2 linked regions of the Cricetulus griseus genome follow. The main gene of each other region encodes a partner of the protein of the gene in region 2 in a complex. Links are inferred from orthologs where the notes say so. Each region holds a gene or a part of one and is shown on either strand. Other genes may lie near its edges.

Region 1 (3,946 bases), on a different chromosome or scaffold from region 2:
GTGAGACATAAAGACAAAAAAATAAAAGCACTAGGTGGTCTAGCAAGGTGGCTCAGTAGGCAAAGGTGCTTCCCACTAAGGCAGATCATGAGTTCTATCCCCTGGGAAGGCACTCAGAAGGCTGACTTCCGGTCTCTACTCACATACCCTCTCCCCCTACACACAAAGAGGCAGGTGGGGGCCCTATCCAGCTGTTTCTAACACACTGATCCTTTGTTCCATCTGCTGTCTTTGTGCCATCCACCACATGTCTCTTCCTTGTCCCCCATGTCCCTTATCTTTTTCTGTCTGCCCTTTTGGTGTTTGTTCTATGGGATTCTGCTGCTCTAATCTTGTCTTCCTGATTCCCACTCTGAGATCTCTGTGGGTTCTGGCAGGACACTGGCTTCGCTTCCTCCAGCCTCTGGTTGTCTGTCTGCATAGCTGTCTTTCTCTTTCTGGTCCTCTCCTGAACTGAGCATCTGTATCTCCCACCTCTGGTGTCTGTGGCTCTCTCTCTCTCTCTCTCTCTCTCTCTCTCTCTCTCGTGTGTGTGTGTGTGTGTGTGTGTGTGTGTGTGTGTGTGTGTGTGTGTGTGTGTGAACTCTTGGGTTGACACTGCCTCTCTTCTCTGTGCCCCCTGGGGCCTGTGTCTGTGCTTTCGTTTTGGTGTGTGCTGTGTGAGTCCTGGGCTTTCTGTCCTCTTTCCGTGCCTATCTCTCACTTCCCATTTCTCCTGAGTCTTTCTTTTTTTTACCCCACCCCAAGTGAGTGTGTGTGTGTGTGTGTACATGTATATCAGGACAACTAGCAGATATCAGTCAGTTCTCTCCCACCATGTGATTCCTGGTGATAGAAAGCAAATTGTAAGGCTTGGTGGCAAGTGCGATTACCCAGCGAGCCATCTTGCTGGCCTACCTTCCTTGTTTTTGATTTTTGTTTGTTTTGAGACAAGGTCTCACTATGTAGTAACCCTGGCTGGAACTCACTATATAGACCAGGCCTCAAACTCAAAAGAGATCTGCTTGCTTCTGCCAAGTACAGGCATTTAAAGGCATACACCACTATGGCCCGCTCTTCTCTATCTCTATCTTTTTCTGTCTGCCCCACCCCTTTTGTCACTAGCCAGCCGAGCAGTCCGGCCAAGGCGGATGTGCGAGGATGATTCAGTAGTGACAGGAAGCCAACCGCCTTGCCTGCTGCCCGCCAGAGTCTGGTGTTGGCATTGGCTTGGGCAGGTGTGCCGGCACAGGATGGGGTGGCCATGGTGAGGAACCCCCACTCTCAGGTAAGCATTTCCCAGGGGTGCCCAGCTGAGCAGGTGTCCCCTGCACTATCCCCCACAAGACCCTTAGTAGCTATGGACTAAGCGGTGGCTGGGACACCTGATTCCTCCTGCCCTGGCCGGGCACTTTGGCCCGTTGGGGGCAGCCTGTTTTAGGGGCTCCAGGCACCTACCTACTGATCATTGTCTTCCCAAACCCCCAGCCTGTGAGACCCTAGGGGGGTTCTGTCACTACCAGTGACTGGGGAGGGCCAGCCAAAAGCCAGAAATGAACTCAGTTTCTCCCATCAGTGAAGAGTTATCTAATGCCACAGGCCTGTGGGTGAATCTGGGATGCCCTGGGGAATTGCCCAGGCAGGCCCTGTCCCAGCCAGGAGGAGGAAGTTGCTGTCCCCAAAAGTCCACCCAAGCCTGACCCAGGTTCGTACCTTCTGATGGATAACCCCTGTAGAGCTGGTGGGTTCTTTGGTTCTGGTAGCCCAGGTTGGCCAGGTTCCTTCCACCCAGCCTCCACCACCACCACCATTGGCCTGGAAAAGGGCCTGCCAGACCTCTACACATGACCATACACACACACACACACACACACACACACACACACACACACACACACACACACACAACTCACCTGGCCCTCTGGCCTCCAATAGGTTTTTCAGAGTCCTCTCTCCACTCTCATTTGAAGCCCCAAATCCTTGGTCCATGCAGGTAGAGATTGTGGTGCACTCCTGTAATCACAGCACTAGGAATGCTAAGGTGGGGGTACAGGAGTTCAAAGCCAGCCTGTACTCCATAATGAGACCCTGTCTCGAACAAACCACAGAAATATTCAGCTAAAACCACAGGCCCCAGAGTAGCATGAATACAGCCATCCAGGATTGTGTGATTGGTCGTACTCATCTGAGCAGACCCTGGTGGCCTCTGTTCCCTGAAGGGTGAGTAGTTGCAGAGTAATCACTAAGGGCCGTTGAGGCTAGTGGTTCAGAGGCTACAGTCAAGAGACTGGCCCTGTGCAAACCTTGTTCATATGAAAACTGCCCACTTCCCTTTGAGCTATTTTGGCCTACACGGAGCCACAGAGCTGTGGCAGTCCCCCATACACCCACAGCCAGCCCTGCCTGGCCCCTTGGGGCCTTGTGTGACTCGTGGGTTGCCCCTCCTGCAGACCCAGCCTCAGTTCCCTCAGCCCACCTGCTGTCTGTAGAGAGCATGAGCACACAGAGTGGAGGGATTCATTGGGCCTACTCTGGATTTCCATCACTGTTACTCTTACTGTGGTTCTCTCTGGCACAGTATGCACCTCTTTGAACCCTGTATGCACCTTTGAGCTCCCTGGGAAGAAGACAATTGGGATCAGAGGAATCCCCAACTGAGAAGCAAGGCCCAGACCCATACACTCACACTGGCTCTTTTTGCTTTGTTTTCCAATATTTTAATCCATTTTTAATTATTGGATGGATGGGTGTGTGCTACAGTGTAGGTCAGAGAATAACTTGTAGGAGTGAGTTCTCACCATGTGGATCCTGTGGATCGAACTCAGATCCTCAGACTTGGAGGCAAACTCCTTTCTTTCTTTCTTTCTTTCTTTCTTTCTTTCTTTCTTTCTTTCTTTCTTTCTTTATTAGTTCAAGTTAGGGAACAAGCTTGTTTCACATATAAGTCCCTTCTCCCTCCCCTCACCCCCATCCCTCCTCCCCCCCCCCAACCTACCCCCACCCCATCCACCCACCACTCCCCAGGCAGGGTAGGGCCCTCAACGGGGGCTCTGCAAAGTCCACCAAATCTTCCTGTGCTGGTTCTGGGCCCTTCCCCATGTGTCCAGGGCCATCCCTTCATGTGGGATGGGCTCTCTTAAAGTCCCTTCTTGGCACCAGGGAAATATACTAATCCACCACCAGAGGCTCCCTGGAGTGCAGAGGCCTCCTTATTGACATCCATGCTCAGGGGTCTGGATCAGTCTTGTACTGGCCTCCCCGACAGCATCTGGGGTCGATGTGCTCTCCCTTGTTCAGGCCAAGTGTTCCTGTGGGTTTCTCCAGCCTGGTATAGACCCCTTCGCTCTTCATTCCTCCCTCTCTTCAACTAAATTCCAGATTTCAGCTCAGTGTATATCTGTGGATGTCTGTCTCTGCTTCCATCAGCCACTGGATGAGGGCTCCCGTTCGTGGGTCGGTCGGCGGAAAGGGATGGAAGAGTGGGCAGCAAGCTCCTTTTTACTAAAGCTGTCTCACCACCCCCCATCCATTCAATCATATTTTAATAATTTAAACTTTATCTTATGCACATTGGTGTTTTGCCTGCAGGTATGCCTGCATGAGGGTTCTAAATCCCCTGGAACCAGAGCTATAGACAGTTGTGAGCTGCCATGTAGGTGCTGGGAGTTGAACCCAGGTCCTCTGGGTCAGTGCTCCTAACCTGAGCCATCTCTCCAGCCCCCACCCCATTCAGTCTTTTTATTATCATGGATTAATTATGCATAGTATTAGGCTTAGGACATTTCCATACATGGAAAGAATGCATCTTGACCACATTAACCAATTCCTTCTCATGTCCACTGCCATTCTCAGATCCTTGCCCTCTTCTTAACTAATTCCTTTCTGATTCATGTTCTTTTTCCAGTTGGGTGTGGCCTGGTGGTGACCGATGAGTTTCATTAGGTTTGCTTTCAGGGTGTGAGGGTTA
Region 2 (4,029 bases):
CCTAATGTAGTTCAAGTAAATCTTCCCATATCTTTCCCTTGAAAAATACTTTTCATAGATTCTTGACCTGAAATGCAGGGTCCTTCTAGAATTGTATTAATGTCAGCATATGTTGGTGCATTTTCTTTTAAAGTGATTGCAACAATTGTTTGTGCGATCCTTTTCCTTGAACTGGGTTGCCTCATCCAGCCTCGATATGATGGTATGTGCCAGGTGTTATTGTGACTTGTTATGCTGTGTTTGTTTGATGTCACTGGGAGGCCTGCTCTTTACTGAGGAGAAACAGAGGGGGTGTGGATCTGGGGGAAAGGGGAGATGGGAAGGAGAGGCAGAGGAGGGGAGGGGAGGGGCGGGAGGGGAAACTGTAGTCGGGATATAATGTATGAGAAATAAAAATAATAACCCTTGCAATGAGAGCATCTTGCCTTGTAGTTTCTTTATTGAACATGTTCTTAAACTACGTTTTCTCCATTTTTATCTTCTGAATTTGTTTTCAGCAGGGACCTCTGCATAGCCTCTCCATGTCATTTGTGTCAAGGAACTCCACGGCTGACCTGGCAGCAATGTTCTCAGCTCACCTTGCTTCTAAATGCTACCTAGCATTTGCTACCAGTTGTGGAGAAATCCCACCTTTTTCCACGAGTATTTCTCTCATAGTTTCTATGTTTAAGTCTGTGAGCAGCTATGGAGTTCCTTTGAGCAATTTTATTTACAGACCTCAAACTGACTTTAGAATTCTAGCAAACAAATAAGTAAATAAGAAGAAAATGAATCTCATCTTAAGTGTGAAGCTGGTGTTTTATATGGCTATCATTTCCATCTTGAAAACCATCACGTGCCTTGACATTGTTGCTATTCTCTAGTTCCTCCCCTGTTTAATACACAAGAGAAAGGGACTTGGTAATAAACTCAAATGGGTAAACAAATTGGTTTTCTCATATACACGTACCACAATTATTTACATTTGCACGCTCCCATTGAATCCAGGGCCCGATGTGCATTAGACAAGTGCTCTACCATTTTGCTAGATTCCGCAGCCCTTATGAGAAATACTAGATTATGGTTCATTCTATTTTAAAGCATGGTTTCTAAGAAAAACCAGAGTAGGAGTTAGATAGATAAGAAATTGTAACTGATACGAAGCTAAGCCTCGTGTCCTGTTTGTCGAGTACAAGATATACAATAAATGCTGCTTAAAAGTAAATTGATTCAGGTCTGTACTTTCTTATCCCACAAATAATAAAGAATACAATACAAATAATAATATATTATGCTAGCCAAGTAGAATTTTTTTCTCTTTGCAGTTGAATAAATTGAGTTCAGGGGAGATGATGGAGTAATTTTCACAAGATCACAAGGTGTATGTGGAAAACCATCAAGTGAAGACACGGTTTACAGCTACTCTAAAATTGTGGAATTTTATCTGCTAACCATGCCCATATAAGCCTTCTTTAAACACCTTAAGATATTGGTATCAGGCACAGTTATCAGAGACACTCTGGAAAGAGAGTCAGTGACCAAATTTAAATTACCAACTAGAAATTTACTTTCTTGTTACCCATTGTTGATGAAGTAAAACCATGTAGTTGAACTGTGAGTGATCAATAACAACAACAAAAATTCCAAAATAGCTTGAAAATGTACTAAGAAATGTTTAACACCTACAACAAGAATTACAACTTGGCTTTCAAATGGCAAATATCTTTATCATGTACATAGAAAATATAAATGTACTGTTACAATATTTTCATATTCATAATTTTTCCACGAATGTCAATGAATCATCTGAAACCTTGACTTATCATCATTGAACATTTATTGTTATTTCTGTAAACACTTAAGTCTTTGCTAGCTTCAGCCTATATTAACATTTCATAACATTTTACTTGCATCAATGGCTTCTTTTTTTTTTAGTAACATGATTTCATGTTTATTTCTCTAATTAATTTTATGTTGTCCACAATTATAACTTTAAAAGTAGTACTTTTGATAACTATAATTTGAAATTTTACATTTAAAAATATGTGGAATACTTTGTGAGTTTTCATAGAGAAAAAGTACTTTTTGAAAAACAAAATTAGTGTATTCACTATTTGCAATAATACCCTAAATGCTCTCTTTTAAAGCCAGTATCGTGAACAGTATTTTCAGAATGAAACAATAGTAAGTAAACATCAAATTTTCACAACTTTATCAAAGTTTACCATTTATTACAGTTTGGTCATTAGTTTACCATTTATTACAGTTTGGTCATTATACACTTCAGTATGAGTGAGAGTAGGAGAAGGTTAATTTCATCATAAAATCACCTTATCTTCATGTACTTCATCACCACTGAAGCATAATATTTGATTGTTGAAAAAACATAAAACAAAATTATCTTGCAAGCCAAAATCGTATGTGATGCTCAATGGAAATTTCATTGAGTTTTTCAATTATAGCTAAATATTAAAGACCTTATTATACATGCTTATGTATGCATATATATGCACAGTTTATATATATTTAAATATATTATAAGTTTAAACTGTACATTGTATTTAAGCTATTCAAAATTAGAATAGTTCTCTTCACTTAGGGAAGAGGGTATAATCCAGACAGAGATAGGAGGCATTGTCATGAAACAAGTTTTATATTAAGTGAAAACATTCAGGCTTAGAATTCTCATCTACAGACTTACCTGGTGATTAGACCGTTTGACTAACAAAAACCCTTCAAAGTACAGCGGTAGAGCAGTGATCTTCAGCCTCTCCTGGAAGATCCTGCGGGGCGCTGGTTTTGGGGGCTTCTTAGCCATCATGCCCGTGGCCTTGGCGTTCGGGCTCACTTTCAGCCTCAGACAAGATGAAATCTCCGTTGTATGAGAGGAGAGGCAACTGTTCAAAGAGGAAGTCCCAACTTGCTTTTTAACCACCAACAGGACGGGGACACACACACACACACACACACACACACACACACACACACACACACACACACACACACACCCTTTACTTCTTGTGAAGTAAGAAAGATCAGGCACAGACCAACTTTTAAAAGGCAACCTCTTTTCAGGCTTCATGTGCGTAGATTCATGGTAGCAAAATAAACAGCAGATTATCATCTAAGGATGAAAGGAACAGGTGCAGGCACCGTGGGCTTGGGGACAGACACCATTGTTTGGCTTTTCCAACTTTTATTACTGTTTATTGCTTTCTGTCTTTATTTCTAAAAGACATGACTTAAACTATTTATTGAATATTATTGTACATATATATATAATATTCTATAGAGAGTTTTTAATTTTTTTTTGTTTTGTTTTAAAACAAGTCTCATTTTGTAGCCATGACTGGCCCGAAATTTTACTCTGGAGACCAGATTGGTCTCAAATTCAGAGATCCACTCACTTCTGCCTCCAAAGTGCTGGGATTAAGGCTTGTATCACTAGGCCTAGTCATGGCCATAGAGTTTTATAGGAAAGAGAAAGATGGCCTCCAAGAAAAATACCGAAAGGAATTTTTTGACATTTACTTAGTGTGTGAGCATGTGTGTGAGTTCACACTCAGGCTTATGTGTGCAGATTTGTGGCAATTGGTTCTCTCCTTTTACAATGTGGGGCTCGAGTATTGAATGAACCCAAACCCTTAGGCTTGTCAGCATGACCCTTAACCTTCTGAGCCATTTCAACAGGCCTACACAGGGATATTCCTGTTAAGTAAACATCTGCTTACTTATGTCTTTTCGTTTTCCTTTTAAAAAGGAAGCAAAAATAAATAAATAAATAAATAAATAAATAAATAAATAAAAGCTAGTTCACCAAACAAGGAGGTTCTTTTGGTCTGTTGATTTGTAAGTAAAATTAATCCTTAATATACCAAGAACCAATGATGTCTCCTTCAACCATCTCCCCCAACTATTTTAAAACTCCAAAGTTAAACATTATCTTAATGGTTAATCAGTCTTAAACATTATCAGCCAGTTAGACATGTCCATATTCCCAACATCACTGTACCCTGGCACTACTGCAGTAGAAATCCTATTACAGATAGA

Evidence for each region. Proteins that work in one complex are often made in the same cells at the same time.
Region 1: the proteins of Stap1 (region 2) and Lat2 are in contact, whole or in part, in a crystal structure (PDB 3MAZ), measured with the Homo sapiens proteins. The link is inferred for Cricetulus griseus from reciprocal best matches to the Homo sapiens genes STAP1 and LAT2. Residues at the interface, in NP_001304698.1 of Homo sapiens: Arg184, Arg203, Pro204, Gly205, Ser206, Ser212, Ile215, Gln217, Ile219, Lys225, His226, Tyr227, Lys228, Glu239, Leu240, Glu241, Tyr255, Phe256, Glu259, Thr260, Arg261, Asn263, Leu264; in NP_054865.2 of Homo sapiens: Asn134, Ser135, Tyr136, Glu137, Asn138, Val139, Leu140, Ile141, Lys143.

Annotation. Positions count from the first base shown.
Region 1 is NC_048597.1:113,700,334-113,704,279, reverse strand, and holds the start of Lat2 (linker for activation of T-cells family member 2), read left to right. Parts: upstream 1-1,146; 5' UTR 1,147-1,243; coding exon of another isoform or gene 1,244-1,267; intron 1,268-1,555; exon of another isoform or gene 1,556-1,578; 5' UTR 1,579-1,597; coding exon 1,598-1,684; intron 1,685-3,946. UniProt on the Homo sapiens protein: Involved in FCER1 (high affinity immunoglobulin epsilon receptor)-mediated signaling in mast cells.
Region 2 is NW_023276807.1:151,312,939-151,316,967, reverse strand, and holds the start of Stap1 (signal-transducing adaptor protein 1), read right to left. Parts: upstream 2,801-4,029; coding exon 2,681-2,800; intron 1-2,680. UniProt on the Homo sapiens protein: In BCR signaling, appears to function as a docking protein acting downstream of TEC and participates in a positive feedback loop by increasing the activity of TEC.